Sus scrofa: one gene and its partner. The protein of the gene in region 2 purifies or fractionates together with the protein of the main gene of each other region. This does not show direct contact. Links are inferred from orthologs where the notes say so. Each region holds a gene or a part of one and is shown on either strand. Other genes may lie near its edges.

Evidence for each region.
Region 1: the proteins of CABIN1 (region 2) and UBN1 purify together in Homo sapiens (affinity purification with western blotting; 6 studies listed by BioGRID, with this or other methods). This does not show direct contact. The link is inferred for Sus scrofa from reciprocal best matches to the Homo sapiens genes CABIN1 and UBN1.

What each region holds. Positions count from the first base shown.
Region 1 is NC_010445.4:37,547,458-37,554,723, forward strand, and holds part of UBN1 (ubinuclein-1), read right to left. Parts: 5' UTR 7,064-7,266; intron 4,147-7,063; 5' UTR 4,108-4,146; coding exon 3,859-4,107; intron 1-3,858. UniProt on the Homo sapiens protein: Acts as a novel regulator of senescence. Involved in the formation of senescence-associated heterochromatin foci (SAHF), which represses expression of proliferation-promoting genes. Binds to proliferation-promoting genes.
Region 2 is NC_010456.5:49,783,036-49,790,847, forward strand, and holds the start of CABIN1 (calcineurin-binding protein cabin-1), read right to left. Parts: upstream 4,679-7,812; 5' UTR 4,575-4,678; intron 2,455-4,574; exon of another isoform or gene 2,342-2,454; intron 1-2,341. UniProt on the Homo sapiens protein: May be required for replication-independent chromatin assembly. May serve as a negative regulator of T-cell receptor (TCR) signaling via inhibition of calcineurin. Inhibition of activated calcineurin is dependent on both PKC and calcium signals.

The sequences.
Region 1 (7,266 bases), on a different chromosome or scaffold from region 2:
ACTCCTGGGCATCTACCCAGAAAAAACCATGATTCAAAAAAATATACGTACTCCAATATTCATTGCAGCACTATATACAATAGCCAAGACATGGAAGCAACCTACATGTCCATTAACAGAGGAGTGGATAAAGAAGATGTGGTACATATACACAATGGAATATTACTCAGCCATAAAAAGGAATGAAATAATGGCATTTGCAGCAACATGGATAGACCTAAAAATTATGCTAAGTTAGACAGTGAGACACAAATGCCATATGCTATCACTTTTATGTGCAATCTAGAAAAAGTGTACAATGAATTTCTTGGCAGAACAAAAAGCGATTCAGACTTTGAAAAACTTATGGTTACCAAAGGAGACAGGTTGTGGGGAAGGGGAGGGGTGGGCTGGGGGTTTGGGATGGAAATGTTGTAAAATTGGGTTGTGATGATGGTTGTACAATTATAAATATAAAATTCACTTGAGTTAAAAATAAAAGATTCCAGTACCAAATACACTTAAGACTCCAGAGTATTCCAAAAACACTAGAGATTGGATGCTTGTTCAAAAAACAAAATTCTATCTCACTCTCCCATCTCTTCCCACTGAAATCCCTCTCACTCACAAAGGATCAGCTAAATGATTTAGAATACACCTATACCAGTATGTTAAACAGCATACATACATTGTACACACAAAAATGGATGGTCTTCAAAACAGCTTGTCTGAACCTTCTAGCTTTTCCACAATGATGAGATATAACCTAAATCGTTCAAATAATTCTAAGAAATCCCACCAACCTGGAGTGGTGTTGGATTTAATGTGTATTGCTTAATACCCTGTAAATAGTAGTCATCCACAATTTCCTGAACGTATGACGGTGCAGCTCTGTCTAAACACAGCATCTGGAATATAAGCTCTTCTCTATCCAAGTTCTGCAGGGCCTCTATTTGTACCAGACTTAAACAATTACCACATTGTGACTCCTGTCACCTATGTTGATATAATCTTCCTAAAACATCAGACTGCCAAGTCCCTTTGAGGCTGGTACAGCAACTTCTCCACCTTTACATAGTCCACAGCGTCTAGCACAGTGCCTTCTCACTGTAAGAATACAGGCTGAATGAGTTAATCCATGAACACGTCAGAATACACTGTGCTTTCAACACTGCAGAGCAGACATGACAATTCAGGAGTTCTGAATCTGAAGGCCAGGAGTGAACCCCTGAAATGGAATTCAAAGTTTTCTATGTATGCCACCCATACATTTTTCTGCAAGTGAGAAGGGCATCTGAACCCAAAAAGGGTAAAATCAGAGCATGGAGTTCTAATTTCCATTGACCTACTGATTTGGTTTGAGTCCATAAATACTTTAACCAATGCCTACTGCTTTGTCTTCCTCTCAAGGAAGAGGAAACTACTCCTACTTTGGAAAAGAGTTCATGGACGAATTTAAAATTACTTTTTCTCATCCTGTCCACTGGCCTTCATACAACAGAATGACTCTTGGCACAGGCTCAAGTGGCTTCCATTCAGCCAATTATTTTTTCTTTTTACAGCTGCACATGGTGTAGCTGGGGGTCAAATTGGAGCTACAGCTGCCGGCTTATAGCACAGCAACACCAGATTTGCAACCTGCGCAGCAGCTTGTGGTAACCCTGGATCCTTAACCCTCTGAGCAAGGCCAGGGATTGTACCCACATCCTCATGGATACTAAGTTGGGTTCCTAATCCACTGAGCCACACTAGGAATTTCCAATCAGATCTTTATCAAGGAAACATTTTTATTTGGAATAAAGAAAAGTGGCGAATCCTCCTATTCAAAAGCATTCACCCCAAATAGCACAACCATGGATTAGACTGAAGGAGCACTGGCCACTGAAGCCATTTGCTAGAAACTACAGCTGCATGATCTCATCTACCTCAGACATGCTGTGAGACAGGTACCAACCTAATCTTCACTTCACTAGGAGCCACTCTAGAGATCCAAATGCTGCCAAATGCAGGATCCTACCATCCTTTCCCTCAGAGGATAGCCTAGTGCGTTTGTCTGTTTTTGTCTTTTGGGGGCCACACTCGAGGCATATGGAAGTTCCCAGACTAGGGGCTGAATCGGAGCCACAGCAACACCGGATTCCCGATCCACTGAGTGAGGCCAGGGATCGAACCTGCGTCCTCATGGATACTAGTCAGATCTGTTTCCACTGAGCCACAATGGGAACTCCCTGTACTTTTCTTATGTACATAATCCAATATAAAAAGTTTTTATGAGTTCCTGTCATGGCACAGAGGAAACAAATCCAACTAGGAACCATGAGGTTGCGGGTTTGATCCCTGGCCTCACTCAATGGATTAAGAATCCAGTATTGCCATGAGCTGTGATGCAGGTCGCAGATGTGGCTCAGATCTGGCGTTGCTATGGCTGTGGTGTAGGCCAGCAGCTACAGCTCCAATTAGACCCCTAGCCTGGGAACCTCCATATGCCGCGGGTGCGGCCCTAAAAAGACCAAAAAAAAAAAAAAAAAAAAAAAAAAAGAGTTTTTACAGAGTTAATGAATTCCAAAGGATAAGAACTGAAGCTGGATAATGGGTACATAGGGTCTTATACTATTCTCTCTCTACTGCACATATTTGAAAAGTTCCATACTAAAAAAGTAAAACAAATCTATCAGAAAAAAAAATCATTTTAAGAATATTTGAGAAATCAGGGGAGTTCCCGTCGTGGCGCAGTGGTTAACGAATCCGACTAGGAACCATGAGGTTGCGGGTTCAATCCCTGGCCTCGATCAGTGGGTTAAAGATCCGGTGTTGCCGTGAGCTGTGGTGTAGGTTGCAGACGTGGCTCGAATCCTGCGTTGCTGTGGCTGTGGTGTAGGCCGGCAGCTATAGCTCCAATTGGACACCTAGCCTGGGAATCTCCATATGCTGAGGGTGCAGCCCTAAAAAGCAAAAAAAAAAAAAAAAAAAGTTTCTATCCATACAGGTAAAGAAACTATTCAGAACATTACCATGTTTTTTTTCTCTTTTTCTGCCACATCCACAGCATTTAAAAATTCATGGGCCAGGGATCAAATCTGAGCCGCATTTGTGACCTATCCCACAGCTAGAGCAACGCTGGATCCATAACCCCATTCACAGGGGATTGAACTGGTAATACCACAGAGACCAGCTGGATCATTACCCCACTGCACTACAGCGGGAACTCCCAGAATATCATTGCATTCAGAAGAGATGAGCAGTGTGCGTCTTTTCTTGCTTGCCTTCCTATTAGGCAGTGTGAGAGTGCCTTGGAAAAGAGAAATGCCCAGCATGAAATTCCAGCACTAGAAAAGCCAGGGACTGGTCATATTTTTTACTTTTTTTTTTAGGGCCACACCCACAGCATACGGATGTTCCCAGGCTAGGGGTGGAATCAGAGCTACAGCTACCGGCCTACACCACAGCTCATGGCAACACCGGATCCTTAACCCACTGAGCAAGGCCAGGGATCAAATCTGCAACCTCATGGTTCCTAGTTAGATTTGTTTCCATTCCACCACGACAGGAACTCCAAGGGACTGGTCATATTTACATGACGACAGGAACTCCAAGGGACTGGTCATATTTACATGTAACATTTATAGCCTTTCCATGAAAAAATCTGTTGTTTCTTCATATTATTAACCATAATTCAAATTAGCCTTGGATCTGCCATACATTTTCTCTAACGCAAATCAGGGAATGGTTCTAGAAAGAATTCTATTCCTTCCTACCAGAAGCAAAACCAGCAAACCTTGTGCTTGCTTTGTGAGGGGGTCAAAGCTTCTTTAGCGCTGCCTCCACCCTCTGCAACCCTGGGCATGAGATGTGCAGTGAGCCTGGGCCGTGGGGGTGTACCTTGTCTGCCGGCTGAAGTCCTTTCACCTTCCCTCGCAAGTTTTTCACCAGCTCTGGGTAGAAGAACTCTGGGCATCGCTTGTGATCTGGCTCAAAGAGGGTGAGTGTAATCCGAACAGCTGCTGCAGCCGGCTCAGAGTCCTGATGCTGTTCTACTCCCCCAACCTCCTCTTTCCGGGATTTCTTCAAAAACGCAGGATTCAGAGGACCCGGGAGAGAGGTGAACTGGACCCTGTGGGGCTCCGACATGGCTACCAACAAGTCTTAGTAGGTGTCACTGCATGGCTTCTGTAAACAAACCAAGATGATAAAAATGATGATCTCGCCTGTTCAGTTATAGAGATTTCAATTAAAAAAACAAAAAAACCTTTCACTGTTAAGAAACAGCACTGTTAAATTCATCTTAATTACCACTTACTGTTTTCTGCTTACCTACTATTTACCTTAAATATAAAAATTTTTGGAGTTCCCAACGTGGCACAGCAGAAACGAATCTGACTAGGAACCGTGAGGTTGTGCGTTCGAACCCTGGCCTCACTCAGTGGGTTAAGGATCCGGCGTTGCCATGAGCTGTGGTGTAGGTCGAAGACATGGCTCGGATCTGGTGTTGCTGTGGCTCTGGTGTAGGCTGGCAGCTATAACTCCAATCAGACCTGGGAACCTCCATATGCTGCAGGTGCGGCCTTAGAAAAACAAATATGTATATATGTATATACACATAAGTTTTCATGTACATATAAAAGACATGCCATTTCACATCATTCAGAGATAATCACTGTTTAGTATGCTTCCTTGCAGTCTTTCTTCTACGTATCTTCACTAAGTTCTTGAAATTAGAGAAACCATGCTGACAGAGCCTTAGTAGGCTCTGTAGTCTTAGTAGCAGCTGTAGCTCTGATTCAACCCCTAGCCTGGGAACCTCCATATGCCACAAGTGCGGCCTTAAAAACACAAAAACAAAACAAAACAAAATTAAATGAATAAATAAATAAAAATGTAACCTCATCTAGGCCCAAATTTTAGATAGTGTAACTTCAATCCCCTAGATGATAAAAATGCTTCTACTGCTTGGGTAAGTGATTTTGCAGGCCTAAGAAATTACATAAATAAGATTAGAAAATAAAATAAATCAAACAATAGCATATCAACACTTACATTTTAGATTAAGTTCTAAGTCATTGTAGTAATTCATGTGAAACATTTAAGAGAATGAGACACATTCATGATTATTAGTTACAACTTTAACTTGAAATGCTTAAGGAAATGTAACTAAATTGAAAGTATGCTTTCAAAACACCTGACTTACATTTACATGAGTATTAGACGCCTAAGAGTTAAGACCTTGAAAAGATTTTACTTTTAGGTTTGTAAGCTCACGCTTTAGAAGTGTGATGTATCTGAGAGAAAGAACAACCATATAAAACTTTGAATTCAGGTTAGAACATCTGAGGGAGTTTATTTATTTATTTTTTTTGTCTTTTGAGGGCCACACCCGCGGCATATGGAGCTTCCCAGGCTAGGGGTCCAATTGGGAGCTGTTGCCTCCGGCCCACGCCAGAGACACAGCAACTCCAGATCTGAGCCGAGTCTTCGACCTACACCACAGTTCACGGCCACGCCAGATCCTTAACCCACTGAGTGAGGCCAGGGATCTAACCCGAAAACCTCATGATTGCTGGCTGGATTTGTTTCCGCTGTGCCATGACGGGAACTCCAGAATTTAATTTTTAAAAAGAGTTCACTGGGGGTATTCAATTTGTTAAACTGGTGCCTTAATTGAAAATTTGTCAAAAATCAAATATATTTTTACATAAGCATTTTTAGATCTGTAAAAATAAAATTGTCAACAAAGATTAAAAGGCTTTTAAAAGCTAAGCACTTAAGATACTCAATTTTTTTTTCTTTTAAAATGGCTGCACTCATGGCATATGGAAGCTCCCAGGCTAGGGAATGAATCTGAGCCACAGCTGTGATCTATGCCACATATGCAGCAACTAGGGATTCTTCAACCCACTGCATCTGGCCTCTGAAGCAACCAGAGCGGCTGCAGTCGGAGTCTTAATCCACTGCACCAGAGTAGGAACTCCTGGATACTCAATTGCAATGAGCTGAGCATTTTAATGAGTTGAACATTATTCTAAATAAAAGCACAGTATTCTACAAACAAAACCACCCCTCTTAAAAAACCTCAACAGATGCTAACCCCAAAATAACAACTTCGTTCTGTACCTCAGGTTATACTCAGGAGTATTTTTTTGTTGTTACATACCCTCTTAATATTTTCAAACTGATTATTGGTAAAAATGTAGAAAAACTAACTGAATTTTGCATGCTGACTTTGTAATTAGTCTCTTCAATGAACTCTTACTTAATGGATTTCCCTTGCACTTTTCAAAATAGGCTGTCGAGTAACATTCACAGAAGAAAAATTTTGTCTCCTACTTTCCGAAAAAATACGTTTTATTTTTGTTTCATGTCTTGTTGCATTGGCTAGAACTGCCAGAATGTTAGACAATATATTCTTTGCCATGTTCCTGACTGTAATGGGAATGTCTCTAGGTCCAATGTGATGTTGATTTAAGATCTGTGTATTTTATGAAGTCATTAACGTACCCTTCGATTCCTCAAAAATTAAGTTAGGAAGGTGTGTTGAATTTTAGTGTTCCCTCTTGGAAACTTAAATACGCTTTAAATCATAGATTTGTATTTAAAACAACACAAAATAGTTACCAGTAAATGACACTTCCTGAAACTAGCTGATGGTACTTCAGCGAAACTGAATTCCAAAGAGAAACCAGGCTTCGGACAAGTCAGTTCGCTAAAAACTTCCCGTTTACACCCAGTCTCTGTATAACACGACACCTATGAGAGATGCCCGTGGACCTGCCACTCTTTCATGCAGGCGGTGACTCAAGAAAAGTCCCGGGTAAGTTAACACTTGACTTAGACTCCCTGGGTTCTCAAACTGAGATTGGAACCTTTTTAAAATGTTTTACATTCTATCTGCGATGGTGATATTTAGGCAGACGCTGTGCTAAACTGCTTGTTATTCAAGATTCCCCATTCAATGGTTTAGTTTGAACATACTGAAACTACGCTTAGCGTCTGCCTTCCTGTTGTCAAAACAGCCTGTTTCCAACTTCCCTAAAAGTGTCAAACCACAACAAAGCTTACGTGAGAGCCCAGTTCCCACAAAGACACGTACCTTTGTCCCCGGCGCGACGCAGGCTACGGCCCCGCGGGCCGCACTCGTTCCCCCGTGGCCGTCCTCATGCCGGCCCGGGAGCCCGGGCTGCCGCGCTGCTAGCGGCCGGCCACCGAGCCATGCCTCCCGGCGGTCGGCCGGCCCGCGCCACGGCCCATGGCCCGGTCCCCGCGCGCCCGGGGGGCCTCGCCGGCCGTGCCGAC
Region 2 (7,812 bases):
AATATACAAACAACTCAGACAACTCAACAGCAAAAAAGCCAACAACCCAATGGAAAAATGGGTAAAAGACCTGAATAGACATTTTTACAAAGACGACACACAGATGGCCAACAAGCACATGAAAAAGTGCTCAACATCACTGATTATTAGAGAAATGCAAATCAAAACTACCAGGAGGTACCACCTCACACCAGTCAGGATGGCCACCATTAACAAGTCCACAAATAACATACGCTGGAGAAGGTGTGGAGAAAAGGGAACCCTCCTGCACTGTTGGTGGGAATGTAAGCTGGTACAGCCACTATGGAGAACAGTATGGAGGTACCTTAGAAAACTATACACAGAACTACCATATGACCCAGCAATCCCACTCTTGGGCATATATCCAGACAAAACTTGCCCTGAAAAAGACACATGCACCCACATGTTCATTACAGCACTATTCACAACAGCCAAGAAATGGAAACGACCTAAAAGTCCATTGACAGATGACTGCATTAAGATGTGGGGAGTTCCCGTCGTGGCACAGTGGTTAACGAATCCGACTAGGAACCATGAGGTTGCGGGTTCGATCCCTGCCCTTGCTCAGTGGGTCGGGGTTCCGGCGTTGCCGTGAGCTGTGGTGTAGGTCGCAGACGTGGCTCAGATCCCGCGCTGCTGTGGCTCTGGCATAGGCTGGTGTCAACAGCTCCGATTAGACCCCTAGCCTGGGAACCTCCATATGCCGCAGGAGCGGCGCAACAAATGGCAAAAAACAGAAAAAAAAAAAAAAAAAAAAAAAGAAGATGTGGTATATACACACAATGGAATACTACTCAGCCATAAAAAAGAACAAAATAATGCCATTTGCAGCAACATGGATAGAACTACAGATTTTCTTACTAAGTGAAGTAAGTCAGAAAGAGAAAGACAAATACTATATGATATCACTTATACCTGGAATCTAATATACAGCACAAATGAAATCTTTCTACAGAAAAGAAAATCATGGACATGGGGAACAGACTTGTGGTTGCCAGGGGGAGGGGGAGAGAGTGGGATGGATTGGGAATTTGGAGTTAACAAATGCAAACTATTGCCTTTGGAATGTATAAGTAATGAGATCCTGCACTGGGAACTGTAGCTAGTCACTTATGATGAAACATGATAATGTGAGAAAAAAGAATGTATACATGTATGTGTGACTGGGTCACCTTGCTATACAGTAGAAAACTGACTGAACACTGTAAACCAGCTATAATGCAAAAAAATATAAAAATCATTATAAGATTAAAAAATAAAAACGACACTCCCTAATAACTTAAAACTAGGTAAGTGACAACCACCCCACCAGTAGCAGAGGAAGAAAAGTCCTTATGTCTAAAAATGTAGGAACCGGAGTTTCCTTCATGGCTCAGCAGTTAACAAACATGACCTGCATCCATGAAGACGAAAGTTCAATCCATGGCCTCGCTCAGTGGGTTAAGGATCCGGCGTTGTGGTGAGCTGTGGTGTAGGTCACAGACGTGGCTCAGATCTCCTCTTGCTATGACTGTGGTGTAGGCCAGCAGCTGCAGCTCCAATTCAACCCCTAGCCTGGGAACCTCCATATGCTGCAAGTGCAGACCTAAAAAGCAAAAAATAAAAATAAAAATAAATAAATTTTAAAAATATAAAAATAAAAATGTAAAAACCTCATATTAAACAACTTCCAGGGAAAAGGAAATGCAACTAAAATTCTAGACATTTAAAGAAATACAAACAATGAAAACACGTCACATACGTAAAAACACAGTGTACTCATCCGTGGGCGGAGGGAGAGGGGGCAATAGAAAGGATTATCTCCATAGAAAAGAAAGCCTATGACAAAATTCAACACCTATTCATGATATTAAAAAAAAAAAAAAAAAAGGCACCTCAAGAAAACCAGAATTTTCTGTATTCTATATATATATATATTTTTTTTTTTTGGCCAAACCAAGCCACAGCAGTGACAACACCAGATCCCCTAACCTGCTGTGCCACCAGGGAACTCCTGGAATTTTCTTAACAATGTTAAAACACACATACCTTAGTCTAAAGCCAAAATTTATTAAATGAAGTAACACCAGAAGGACTTCCTTTAATACCAGCAATAAAGGATGCCCACTGAAATGCCATTTCTCACCTAACACACTGGCAAAAACTAAAGCACAAAGGCACACTCTTGGTGGTAAGGTTGTGGGGAAACAGGCACTACTCTCAAACACCTTTGGTGGGAATGCAAATTGGTACAAGCCCCCCACAAAAAAAACAAACAAACTAGTATAGCCCCTCTGGAAAAGAGTATGATAACAGGCAACAAAATCACCAATGCACTTACCTTTCAAGCCAGCAATCCTAGGAATCTACCCTGAAGATGCATCTCCAACCATGTAAAAATACATATGCACAGGGTTCCAGCACTGTTTGCCATTGCAAGATCTTGAAAACCACCTAAATGGCCACAGATAGTCCAGGATATGAATAAATAAACTATGGCACCTCCATACAATGAAGTAACATTGCAGCTGCAAAATCCATGAGGGAATGTTCACAGCTACATTATTCATAATAACCAAAGAGAAGAAACAACCCAAATGGCCATCAACTAATTTCTGGATAAACAAAATGTGGTCCAGCCATACAATGGAATATCAATCAGCCATAAAATGGAATGAACTAATGAAAACACAGATGAACCACAAAAACATGATGCTGGGAGTTCCCACTGTGGCTCAGCAGGCTAAGAACCCAACGTAGTGTCCAAGAGGATGCAGGTTGGATCCCTGGCCTCAGTCAGCAGGTTAAAGATCTGGCATTGCCATGAGTTGCGGTCTAAATAGAAGACTCAGCTCAGATCTGCATTGCTGTGGCGTAGGCCGGCAGCTGAAGCTCTGATTCAACCCCTAGCCTGGGAACTTCCATATGCTGCCGGTTGGGCCCTAAAAAAGCAAAACAAACAAACAAACAAACGAAAAACTCAGCAAGGCCAAAAAGTTTAGAAGTTTAGTAAAGACTAAGTAACTGGTGGAGTGCTGTGGATGCTCCAGTTCTATCCCCAGCGGGGCGCAGTGGGTTAAAGGATCCCCCTTTGCTACAGCTGTGGCACAGGTCAAAGCTGTGGCTGTGATGCAACCCCTGGCCTGGGGAACTTCCATTATGCCACAGGTGGGACCATAAAATTTTAAAAAACCAAAAAGGCACATTCAGGACTTAAACCTCATGAGTTTCCAAAATCTTTATGGTACAGTTTTCATGGCCCTCAGAACACATGACAACAGCACACCCTGAGCACCTCACCCAGATCCAGTGATAAGGGGTGATGTTTCTTAGCAGGCTCTGGCCTGGGAATGGGGAAGCCTGGGCCGTGTGACTGACATGGCATCAGATGCCGGTCTCTAGGTCATTTCCCTCCACTGTATGAGGCTTTGGGCTAGACTTGGGATCCACAAGCTACCAAGCCCACAGTTTCTGTACAGCTCAAGAGCAAAGAATGGCTTTTTCTTTTTCTTTTTTTTTTAATGGCCATACCCATGGCATATGGAAGCTCCCAGGCCAGGGATTGAATCTGAGCCACAGCTGCAACCTACCTACCCTGCAGCTGCCGCAAAGCTCGATCTTTTTAACCCACTGCTGGGGATTGAACCCCTGCCTCAGAAGCAACCCAAGACGCTAGGGTGGGCAGCACAACCCACAGTACAATGGCAAGAACTCCCACTTTTTACATTTTTAAATGGTTGAAAAGTTCATGACACATGAAAATTACTGACAACATAAAATTGCAACTTCAGTGTCCCTAAATGAAATTTTCTTGAAACAACTTTACGAACTGTCGTTGGCTGTGTCCACAATACAGCAACAGAGCTAAGAAAACTATGCCCCCTCCTCATTATAAGCACAATTACACTCATTATTGTCACAAGGAATAGTATCATATAAACTACTCTATTTAGAACCGAAGTTTGCTGACCCCTGAACCAGACGTCTCTGAGGACACATGGGTCCTAACCACGGTTATGTACCACACAGAAAGAACCCCAGCCGCTTGGTCCGCATACACAGTAGGCCCTTCACCAAGGGGTGAAGGAACCCCTAAAGCCGCCTGTGCAGACACCTGCCGACGTCAGAAAGCTCCACCTGGCCTCCTCCGGGACGGCAGTGGGTCCAGGCTTTTAGTCTGGAGTCGGCTAGCCTGCCGGGAAGCTGGGGACTTGGGACAAGCGGCCGCACCACCTCTCGGCCTCAGTCCCCATCCCGCGAGGGGCGCCCACCTGGTGCCCGCCGCGCAGCGCCGCCGCGAAGGTTAAGTGGAAGGACACGCAGCAAGGGTGGGTGCGGGGCCCTGTTCCGCGACCGCAGACGGGACGGCTGAGTTGTTGAGACCCCCACAGCGTTCCTGAGACCCCCGCCCCAGGCCCCAAGCGGAGCGGGAGCCGCCAAGAGGTTCGCGCGGCAGTGGGGCCTGGCTCGGCCGCTCGGGCTCCCAGCCTGGGTTTTTCCGTGAGCAGCCCCCAGCCAGCCGCTCCTCAGCACCACACCTCCAAGCCTCACCCCAGCCCGGGGCCTCCCCAAACCTGCAGTACGCGAACTCACGAGTCGTCTCCACGGCAACAGGCCGTCCGCCGGACCCCCGCGCCCGTCGGAAGGACTGCGCGCCTGACAACAAGGAGCGCTCCCATTGGCTCGGGAGCCGGCTCCGCCAGCCAATCGGCGAGCCCGCACGCGCCTTCCCGAGAGCCAGCGCGCGGGGACCTTGAGGGCCTCTTGGCGGTAATCTGCAGCGCGGTTGGTGACACCTGCTAAGTAATCGGCAGCAGTGTTCCAACTGCGACAGGTGCTCGGAAGGTGGAAACCTGGGGACACTTGGAGGGGACCAAGGGAGTAACAATATTCTCATTCCTATGCCCGTGGCTCACCTTTTTCCGAAAAGGATTTGAAGCCTAAAAACCACAGATACAACGAACTATTGAAGCAGAGAGTACTGGGGGCGGGGAGCGGAGGGCGGGTAGTCTGTTGGGAGGTGAACGGGCGGGGGAGGGAACAACAGAATTTAAGAGCCTGGAAGAGGGTTTCTGACAACCGGCTGGGACTGAGATGTTACGCTCTTGGGAGCTAAGCATTTTAGGGAAGGGCTTCCCTGGTTCAGATTTATAGGTGCATGAGTCCAGGAAGTATGATTTAAATAAGAATGAATGTTAGGAGTTCCCTGGTGGCTCAGCGGTTTAAGAATCTGACCTTGTCTGGAGTTCCCGTCGTGGCGCAGTGGTTAACGAATCCGACTAGGAACCATGACGTTGCGGGTTCGATCCCTGCCCTTGCTCACTGGGTTAACGATCCGGCGTTGCCATGAGCTGTGGTGTAGGCTGCAGACGCGGCTCGAATCCCGCATTGCTGTGGCTCTGGCGTAGGCTGGCAGCTACAGCTCTGATTCGACCCCTAGCCTGGGAACCTCCATATGCCGCAGGAGCGGCCCAAGAAATGGCAAAAAGACAAAAAAAAAAAAAAAAAGAAGAAGAAGAAGAATCTGACCTTGTCACTGCTGTGGCTTGGGTTTAATCCCTGATCCAGAGAACTTCCACAAGCTGTGAGCCTGGCCAAAAAAAGAAGGATGAATCTTACGCCCTTTCTCTTTGACTTTGTTTAAAGACGGTAAAATCATGCTGAAGAACTCAATTCAGTACAGTAAAGCTTTAATGATATGCCAGGAGGTACAAAAATAATTGAGTCACCAAGCTTGATTTTGAAAGGAGTGTAACCTGGGCAGGGGTGGGGAGCTGTAAATAGAGAGTAAGCAGATGGTTTAGAAGTTTCATGAATGACTTGCAGCCTTGGACGCAGCTCCCACCCCCTGAAAGATGCTCTGAAGTAAAACAATTGAAAAAAAGATGCGGGAGTTCCCGTTGTGGTGCAGCGGAAACGAGTCCAACTAGGAACCATGAGGTTGTGGGTTCGATCCCTGGCCTTGCTCAGTGAGTTAAGGATCTGGCATTGCCGTGAGTTGAGGTATAGGTCACAGACACAGCTTGGGTCTTGGGTGGCTGTGGCTGTGGCGCCAACTGGACCCCTAGCCCGGGAACCTCCATATGCTGTGAGTGCAGCCCTAAAAAGAAAAAAAAAAAATTTAATTTAAAAAGAAAAAAAGAGATAAAGGTGGTCCAAGCAGCAGGAAGCTGTGTGGCAAGGGTTTAGAGTTAAGAGTGCAGGCCATGCAGGAACATCATGCAGTCTGGTGTTAAGCAGCAAAGCTCAGGAGCACAGTGGGGAGAGATACTGCCAAGCTGGTGGAGGGGCCAGTCACTACAGTGATGAAAGATTGAGGTGGGAAGACCAGACTGGCCCTGGCAAGGGTTAGGCCTGAATCCCTCCTTGGGCACTTCAACCATTCATTTACATTCAACCCACAAACATTCCCCATGTCCCTTTGAGAAGCGGGACATTCATGTTGGCAGGAAAAAGTGCAGAAACAGGAAGGGAAGCAAGGGGCAGGAACTTGGCATTGGTTAGGTACAAAGACCAGGCACAGGTGCATTCCTTTGGAAATGCACCTGGACTGCATAGACTAAAAATCTGTTTGGTATTTCATTGGTGCACAGGATGATGAAAGCTTTAACTGTGTAGGGAAACATAGTGCCCACAAATGTCTGAGATTTAAACTCAGCATCAAACATCTGGAAGAAAACTGATGGAATTTCCGTTGTGGTTCGTTGGAAACCAACTGGACTAGTATCCATGAGGGATGTGGGTTCATTCCTTGGCCCCACTTGGTTAAGGATCTGGCGTTATTGTGAGCTGCAGCATAGGTCGCAGATGCAGCTGAGATCCTGAGGTGCTATGGCTATGATATAGGCAGACAACTACAGCTCCAATTTGACCCCTAGTCTGGGAACTTCCATATGCAACAGATACAGCCCTAAAAAGACCAAAAAAAAAAAAACCAAACCTGCAAGGAAACTGAGGAGGCTTCTTTGAGGCTTCCCCCACCCCACCTGTATATCCTCTGAAATGCCAAAGCAGGATTTGGTCTTTAGATAAGGGGGTGGGATCTTACTCATTCTGTTTCTAAAGACAGCCATTTCCGGGTTTGCCATCCTGGGCCATGGATTTCACAGGGCACACAGTAACAGAATTATCAGCAAGATTTATGGGACATGGAGTTTGGCAGGGTCCTGGGAAGGTCCCTGAAGCCCAGCCCCACTGCTCCCCTCCCAGGCACAGCAGTCCATGGGCAGTGAACTGTCAATCCTGAGGATAGGAGTTCCCGTTGTGGCGTAGGGGAAACAAATCCGACTAGGAACTACGGGGTTGCAGGTTTGATCCCTGGCCTTGCTCAGTGGATTAACGATCCGGCATTGCCATGAGCTGTGGTGTAGGTCACAGATGCAGCTCGGCGTTGCTGTGGCTGTGGTGTAGGCTGGCAGCTGTAGCTCCAATTAGACCCCTAGCCTAGGAACCTCCATATGCCACAGGTGCAGGCCTAAAAAAAAAAAAAGACATTAAGAAAAAAAGACTGAGGATCAGAACATCTGGTCAGCATAGTCTGCAGGAAAGCCCAGGCTAGACCAGCTGCCAGCCCCTCCCCACTAACCTGAACATGGGCATGGAGCACGCTGAGCCCTGCAGACCTCAGATTTGAGCAGCCAATGTATAAGACAGAAACATCCCACCTCCCATGTTCCCTAAGGTTCCCCACCTGATAAACTATCCTTGCTGCCCAGGGTGGCCCAGAATGCTGGGGAAGAGTAAAGGGAGGCAGAGAGATCATGTCTGAGAGACAAAAGCTTTTTTTGTTTATTTGTCAGGTGAGGTCACAGG